2 linked regions of the Macaca mulatta genome follow. The protein of the gene in region 1 binds, or shares a complex with, the protein of each later gene. Links are inferred from orthologs where the notes say so. Each region holds a gene or a part of one and is shown in the gene's direction. Other genes may lie near its edges. The genes, in order: NPR3 and NPPC.

Region 1 (3,807 bases):
TGCACTTACATGGTTATTACAAGGCAATTACCTCAACAGTACTCTTCTTTCTTGCTCACGTTTCAAAGGAACACATGTGCAAAGGGCCTTCTTCTCCTTTAATGGTCTTGACATCACATCATACCTAAGGGCAGAGCTATGACAATACTTCTCTTCCTGGTTGCCAAAAGTAACATGCGGGGGGCACATCGCAGTTGTAAAGGCAGAATGGCCTCTTTTTGGTGGCTGGCTTGGAATTGCAAATATTTTTATTTCTTTCATAGGAGATGGCTCGTGGAAGAGAGGAGACAAACACGACTTCGAAGCTAAGCAAGCATACTCGTCCCTCCAGACAGTCACTCTACTGAGGACAGTGAAACCCGAGTTTGAGAAGTTTTCCATGGAGGTGAAAAGTTCTGTTGAGAAACAAGGTCTCAATATGGAGGATTACGTAAGTGCCTGATTATGAACCTAGGCCTTCAGCATCCTGAAAACAGTCTTCTAATTAAATCAGAGATGACAGAGTGTCCCGTTCTGAGCCATTCAAAAATTCCTAGGTTCAGGTCTGAATTTCACTGTTGCCTTCTGTGTGTGTGTGTGTGTGTGTGTGTGTGTGTGTGTGTTTTCTTTCTGAGTGGTTTTCCTCCTTCCCTCCCAAATATACTCACTATCATCTGTACCCTTCACTTACACTTTTTCAGCTGCTGCAGGAAGGACCATTGCTATTTCGTGGGCACTTGTGGTGGTGCTGAGTAGAATGTCTGTAGACTTCCATCACGTATTTGACTAAGAGGGTTTTGGGGGAGAAGAAGGATGAAGGAGTGCCAAAGGTTTGCATGCCTCATTTTTCCAAAGCTTGGTGGCATTGGGTATTTGGGGTTTTAGGAGACACTTTCTTTTGGCAGCCTGGCTTGGCGTTCTGGCTAGTCTGCTTGTGGATGGTGTTGTCGCCTCTTTCTGCTGGAAGTTGCTTCCTGCTCACATATTGCAGGACTTCACATTCCATTAGTGCTGTTGTTACTAGTGCATTTCAGGAGTGGACAAGAGTCAGAACCTTAGTTCAGACTGAGGATTAAGCAGAGGGACTCATCTAAGAGCTGGCACCGCAGGCAGCTGACCACACCTCATTTGGCATCATTGTTTTGACTGCCTCTGACATGCTTTGCTGCATGGCCAACACGCCACTCCTGTAAATCCTTTCTTAGAGCAGGATGAAAGGTGGGCACCTTGGACTAGTTGAGTAGGTGTGCTGGTCTTCAAAACGAATCACTCTACAGCATCCAAAACTGAAAAGGAGCACCTTCTTCCTCCTCTTCTTTTGTTTTGAGTCAACATTTCGCTCTGTCTCCCAGGCTGGAGTGCAGTGGCGCGATCATGGCTCACTGCAGCCTCAAACTCCTGGGCTAATGCGATCCTCCCTGTTCAGCCTCCTGAGTAGCTGGGACCACAGGTGTACACCATCATGCCAGCTAATTAGGAGCACATTCTTAATGATAGGCATACGGCCTGGATAGTCCCTGCTCAAATTGGATAATGATCAACTTCATAAGAGATGGCCACTTCCAAACAGGGTTTCTCCTAGTTTCTCTACTTGAAGTACCACAGAGTACTGGCATTGGCCTCAGAGCTGCCTTCAGAGTCTAGATCTAGCACTTCTGAGCTGTGTGGCTTGGAAAAATTGCTCCATTTCCCCGATTCAAATTACTTTTTCCTGCTGGAGGATTTAGGATTATTTACCTGAAGCATTTAGCACTATCCCTGTCAGAAAGTTAGAACGAAATAAATGGTACCTCTTTTGTACCACTGTTTCAAGATTATACCTGTCTTTATAGGAATTTGTTATCAAATGGCATACAAAGTGTCTTATAAACATATTTATTAATGTTTTAAATGTTGCATATACTATACTCACATCATTTAAAATATCTTTTGACTTTTTAAATCAGTGCTGTCTGGTAGTTATACAACGTGAGCCAAAAAAGTGAGCCACATATATAATTTTAAATTTTCTAGTTGACACATTTGAAAAAGTGAAAAAAAAAAACAGGTGAAATTAATTTTAATAATATATTCCAATTAACACAATATAAACACAATATTTCAACATTTAATAAATTAAAAAATTTTAATGGGATTTTAGTGTATTTCTTGTACTACGTCTTGGAAATCCAGTGTGATTTTACACTTATAGCGTGCGAAGCCCTTGTTCAAGCTCCACATGACATAGCCACACATGACTAGTGGCTACCATATTGGACAGCGTGTTCTGAATTATGAAAGAAGTAGGGTTTCTGCAACAGAGCCTACGTTTAAGGAAACATATGGTAGTGCTGTCATCATCCAAATCCTTTGTCTCAGAAACAAGAAAGAACACAAAAGGTACTGAACTTCCTTCAGTAGTGCTGCCACATGTAGGCTGGGTCGTTATTGAAAACATCAAACTCTTTTACATATGCCACTGTATATTATTTTACTTTATTAGGTTCATATTAATTTTATGGTTTAAAAACTCAACAATGGTGCCATGTTGTCTGGTTTCCTCTCATTGGGCAAAAGTTGGCATCCCAGCCAGGAGCAGTGGCTGACGTCTGTCCTCCCAGCACATTGGGAGCCTGAGGCCGGCGATTGTTTGAGCTCAGGTGTTGAACACCAGCTTGGGCAACATGGTGAAACCTCATCTCTACAAAAAATACAAAAATCAGCCAGGCATGGTGGCATGCACTTGTAGTCCCAGCTACTTGGGAAGCTGAGGTAGGAGGATCACCTGAACCCAGGGAGGTCGAGGCTGCTGCAGTGAACCGTGATCGCACCACTGTGCTCCAGCCTGAGTGGCAGAGTAAGACCTTGTCTCAGAGAAAAAGTTGGCATCCCACTACTGGGTAATTCTTCTTGGTTATCTGTTATTCTGTGTTCATAATATTACATCTTATTTTAATGGTAGTCTAAGCAAAATCTCACTGGAAACGTATACCTACTACAAAGCTTTATAGAACATTCCAAACCTAATAAGAGCACTGTAGAGATTGTTTGCAGCCCTAGATTACCATACTGCTTCCCTCTGATAGTGGGACTGTTAAAACTGACTTCATAAATAAATAAAAATTAGAATTTTAAGTAGAAGTTGGAGCTAACTATAATAACTTATTTTAGTTCTGAAGATGTGTCCATCTTTTGTATGTATGTAGGTTTTAGTGGGCCTTTTTTTTTTTTTTGAGATGAGGCCTCCCTGTGTTGCTCTAGCCAGTTCGTGGGCTCAAGTGATCCTCCTGCCTTAGACTCTGGAGTAGGTGGGATTACAGGTGCGCACCACCACTCCTGGCTGAGTTGGGCTCTTGTAAACACCAGCTGCAGAGGTTTATCAAGTTAGGTTAGACAGGTGGTCCTGGTGAGTATCATGGGAAGGAACTATGGGAGCCAAAGAGCCAGCACCTGGTGTGGCTGGGTTCCCAGATTCTAGTGCTTGATCTAATGTGGTGGGAGAGCCTGTAGGAGTCTGGGGTCTAGACTCAGTCTTTTTGCTTCTCTTACTTGTGCTAATGAGTTGTCTCATCTGCTTTCTTAGAACTCCAGTTGATGACACCCATCGTGAGCTCTTCATTCTCTGCTATCCATCTCGAATTCAGTGACTTTGGTGGACTCTCATTTGTTCTAAAATTAACCATGCATTTCCAAAGAATCACATAATCTAGGAATAGTGGCAGTTTTGTTTCTTTTAAATTCTTCTACTTTTAAGTATGTTTAATTGAAAGTGTACTTAAGAAGCTGGGCACAGTGGTACATGCCTGTATTCCCAGGTACTTGGGAAGCTGAGGTGGGAGGATCACTTGA
Region 2 (4,340 bases), on another chromosome or scaffold:
GCTCTGGGACCAGGCTCACTACCACGGAGGAAAGAGGGAGGTTTGGAGGAACCTGGTGCTCAAAACCCCTCTTCACTCCAGCCGCCTTCCTGCCTCAGGCACCGCTTCCTCTCCCTGGAAAAGCTCGTCTGGGCTACTGTCTCCGCAGAATCCTCTTCACGCCTGGGGACAGCCACTGCACTCCTGCGGCAACATTTGTTCTCTCTCCAGCCTGCGTCCTGCTCGGCAGCAGCCAGTCATAGATTCGTGCACCTCACTCAATTTGGGGGATCTGGGCTCTCCGCCTCTGCGGCCCACACCGCAGTGCCCAAGTGCCCACCACACTCCTTAGTGCCCAAGGGACCAAGAAGCCCAGTGCAAGGAGAGCAAGTTTGTGAGTGGTAGGGATATGTGGCCGTGTCCCGAGAGCCACGAGGACCTTTCTACAGTCAACAGTGGGAAGTTGACCACCTGTCACGGCTGGCAGAGGCTGGACCGGGCCGCTGGTTAGGAAGCTCCCTCCCCAGCCTGTGAAAGTGCACAGGATACTGGAGCGGGCTTCTCTCAGCAGCGGATCCTCGCGTGGGTGCAGGCAAGGTCAGGTGCGCATTGTTCCCACAGACCGAGTTCACCAGCGGAGTCAGACCCGGGGACGTTCTGTGTAGCCGAAACCGGCTGAACGTGAACCTAGAGCCATAACTGGCGAGCACACGATGCCGCCGAGCACACGCATGAACATGAATATCTTGGTTCCGCGCTCGCAGTCCCCTCGTTCCCGCCTCCCGCTCAAACACTCAGGTTGGCGACATGCTTGCACTCTCCAGTGCGGAAGACTTGCGCTCCCGCCGCGGCCCAGGCGAACCCCGCTCTCCCTGTGCCTCCCACCCCAGTCCTCCAACCCCATCCTCTACCTCCCCAACCTAACGACATCTCTGTGGTCTGCGCTCCCGCCCTGGCGAGCAGGTGAGAGGCGGAGCTGCAATGCCCATCCCGCGGCTGTCAGGTGCCAGGGAAGAGTTTGGCGACCAGCAGGGCTGCGTGGATTTCGGGCAGCGCCAACTTTCTGCCTGTATGACTTTGGGCAAGTAATTTCATTCCTCTGAGCCTGTCTTTGCACCTGCAAAGAGAGCTATAGATCCCTTCTAGGTAGAGTGAGTGTGCTGAGGACCCAGTGGGTGCACAGGGCACAGGGCGCACTGATGCTCATCAGGCCAGGGCGCGCGCTGGCTGCAAATGGAGTTCCCCTGTGCGCGCCGCTCTGCAGCTCCAAGTGCAGCCTGGAGCGAGCCGGCAGAACCGCGGGATCCCTCCGGGGTGGGATAAGGGAGGGGAGCCCCCGCGGCCCCCTCCCGGCCCTCGGCGCGGCCGCGTGCGTGGTGTCATTGGCCCGGGCAGCCCGGTGGGCGGGAGGATGACATCAGCGGCAGGTTGGATTATAAAGGCGCGAGGGGAGTCACGGGCTCAGAGCGCACCCAGCCGGCGCCGCGCAGCACTGGGAGCCTGCTCGCCCTGCAGCCCAGCCAGCTTGCTCCGCACCAGCCTGCTGGTCTGCCCGCCGACCCGCGCGCCCTCGCTGCCGCCCGTCTGCGCCCCTAGACCCCAGCGGCACCATGCATCTCTCCCAGCTGCTGGCCTGCGCCCTGCTGCTCACACTGCTCTCACTCCGGCCCTCCGAAGCCAAGCCCGGAGCGCCGCCGAAGGTGGGTGCTGTCGTGGGGACGCCGAGCCTGAGAGAGTCGTGGGAGGCTGGGGGCTTGGAGAATGCGGCGCGCAGGACCCAGGAGAGAGGGAAGGCAGGCGGCTCTCTCCTCCGAGATGCGCGTGGGCGAGACCCGGGGAGCCCTCGAAGCGCGGACTCGGGGGTCAACTCCCCCAGCCTCCGGAGAACGCCGGCCCATGCGCAGCCCCCTGCCCCAGCGTGGCCTGCCGGGCGAGCAGCAAAGGAGGGGAGGGCAGGGGGCTTCCGGAGGGAGCGGAGAAGGCGGCCGCGTGGCAGGTGGATGCGGGGCCAAGCTGGCCGGCATCGGTGGGGGCGGCTCTGGGCTTAGGAGGGACACCCCGCGCCGGCGGGCGCGTGGGGCTGGAGCATCAAAGTCCCCTGTGCTGCAGCCGCGCGTCCCTTCACCTGCCCGCTCTTTCTTCGGACAGGTCCCGCGAACCCCGCCGGGAGAGGAGCTGGCCGAGCCGCAGGCTGCGGGCGGCGGTCAGAAGAAGGGCGACAAGGCTCCCGGGGGCGGGGGCGCCAACCTCAAGGGCGACCGATCGCGACTGCTCCGGGACCTGCGCGTGGACACCAAGTCGCGGGCAGCGTGGGCCCGCCTTCTGCACGAGCACCCCAACGCGCGCAAATACAAAGGAGCCAACAAGAAGGGCTTGTCCAAGGGCTGCTTCGGCCTCAAGCTGGACCGAATCGGCTCCATGAGCGGCCTGGGATGTTAGTGCGGCGCCCCCTGGCGGCGGTGAGTACCGCCGACCCCGCGCCCAGCCCCAGCCCGGCCCGGCTTTGCTCAAGTTGTGCCAGGCGTTTGCCGGCCACCCCCTTTATTATCCCCTTTACAGACAAAGAAAGCGAAGGATAAAGTGATCGGGGAACTTTGGCATGGTCAGAAATGGCTCAGCCTGGTTGAACCCACCAGGCTTCTTCTAGAGAAGCAGAAACAGGCTTGGTGGCGTCTCACCCACCCCTGCACCTTAGCTGAACTAGCAGCATTGGCCCCAGCTGGCCAGCTGGTGGGGGAATTGAGGGGAGATCATGGGTTTGTGGGAGCAGAGAAGGAAGGTTACACCCACAAGTCCAAGGGACATTGATCATCTGCCGGCCACCATGCCCCCTGTAGCGAGAGTAGCCCTCTGTTGGCACCGTCAGGGCGCCCTTCTGCCTGGAGCACTCCGATTCCTGTCCCTTCTCTAAACCCAGGCAGTGGGCAAACTGGTCTATCCAGGGTCCTGTCCCTTCTCTAAACCCAGGCAGTGGGCAAACTGGTCTGTCCGGGGAGCTGCAGCCCGGTGGCTTCAGGGGTGAATCTCAGTGCTTGTGGCACTATTTCAGGGAATAGGAAAGATACTAAAGTAAATATTTTTTGCCCCACCCTCAAACTCGACATGTCCCAGAGTCCCTCACCAACCCTGTCCCCCGCCCAACCGGTGCTCTGGGCTCCGTTTCTGGTGTGGGATCTCACCCCGCACTAGGGCTGGAAACCTCTGCCCTACCGTCACCCCCTGCCGGGTGCCGCATGGTGGTAATTTACTGCTGCAGAGAGCCTCACCTCTCCTCTTTCCCTCCTCTCTATTCCTGCCGCCTGCCTGTGCCCACTGAATAACAGCATCCCAGCCTCTGACATTGACAGTCATGTGCATTAGGATCAGGCTCACTCGGCTTTCTCCCTTTCTTGCCTCCAGCTCAGCAGCTGCCACTGCCTGTCCCACACTTTGACTGTCCCATCCCAGGCCATGGGAAAGCTGCTGTCTCCACCCCAGAAACCCTTGTCAGTGTTGGGTCTTCCCCCGGAGGGAAACAAGAGCGCCTCTCCAGCACACTGTCTCTTTTTCACAGTACAGAACACTTTTTCACAGTTTGTGAACCCATTCACCTCCCCGTATTGAACAGCTTAAGGGCCAAGTGCTGGCCTAAGGCACTCTAGGACCCACTGCACCCCGTACAGACTCAGAAATATTTGTCAATGACCAGAGAAACCAGCACACCCTAGCCCATGGCCACTCCCACCTGCCCTAGGTTTTAACCAGTGCCCTTCCTCTCTTTGCAGCCAGACCTCCCTCGGCTGTGGGCTGCTCCCCAGTTCTGCAAAGGCTGCAGTTGTCTGTGATCTTGACTCTCCCCTGCACAGGGAGAAAAATGATTCTGACACTTGGGGACCAGCCTTCAGTAGCTACCCTTGGAATGCCTTTCCTCTCTTCTCTCCTGTCTAAACAACAAAGAGACGGAGTCTGAGGCCTCAAATTTTCAGTTTGATTTAAGCATCAAGTTCAAACTTTAGAACCGGAACAAATGTTAGCGACTCTTCCATGGGTTCGTACCTGGAATGCGCATTCCCATAGGGGCCTTGTTCTTGGGCCTGGCTGTCTGTGGTCACCAAGTGATGACCAGACGGGTAGTGAAAGATGCTGTGTAGGAGGAATCCACATTGCTAAGAATTCTCAACCCCTTTGATCAGGGGGGTTCATTAATCTCCTACTAGCTCTCTTAGCATAGATGAACACTTATCATCAACATCCTCAACACCGGCTTATGCCCAACACCAGCTGTTTTATTATTATTTGGGAAGGGGGGTGTGGATTTATTATTTGGGTTTTTTAAATGAAAAATAAAAACCCTACCCTCACTGCCCCCCACTCCCAGTGAG

Evidence for each region.
Region 2: the proteins of NPR3 (region 1) and NPPC are in contact, whole or in part, in a crystal structure (PDB 1JDP), measured with the Homo sapiens proteins. The link is inferred for Macaca mulatta from reciprocal best matches to the Homo sapiens genes NPR3 and NPPC. Residues at the interface, in NP_001191304.1 of Homo sapiens: Asn110, Tyr138, Ala141, Pro142, Arg145, Ala161, Gly163, Phe164, His166, Glu170, Tyr171, Tyr204, Lys208, Leu209, Arg211, Tyr214, Phe215, Leu217, Glu218, His221, Glu222, Gln225, Ile233; in NP_077720.1 of Homo sapiens: Gly109, Cys110, Phe111, Gly112, Leu113, Lys114, Leu115, Asp116, Arg117, Ile118, Gly119, Ser120, Met121, Ser122, Gly123, Leu124, Gly125, Cys126.

The regions. Positions count from the first base shown.
Region 1 is NC_133411.1:34,125,102-34,128,908, forward strand, and holds part of NPR3 (atrial natriuretic peptide receptor 3), read left to right. Parts: intron 1-263; coding exon 264-430; intron 431-3,807. UniProt on the Homo sapiens protein: Receptor for the natriuretic peptide hormones, binding with similar affinities atrial natriuretic peptide NPPA/ANP, brain natriuretic peptide NPPB/BNP, and C-type natriuretic peptide NPPC/CNP.
Region 2 is NC_133417.1:137,158,228-137,162,567, reverse strand, and holds the start of NPPC (C-type natriuretic peptide precursor), read left to right. Parts: upstream 1-1,441; 5' UTR 1,442-1,589; coding exon 1,590-1,679; intron 1,680-2,127; coding exon 2,128-2,418; 3' UTR 2,419-2,438; intron 2,439-4,340.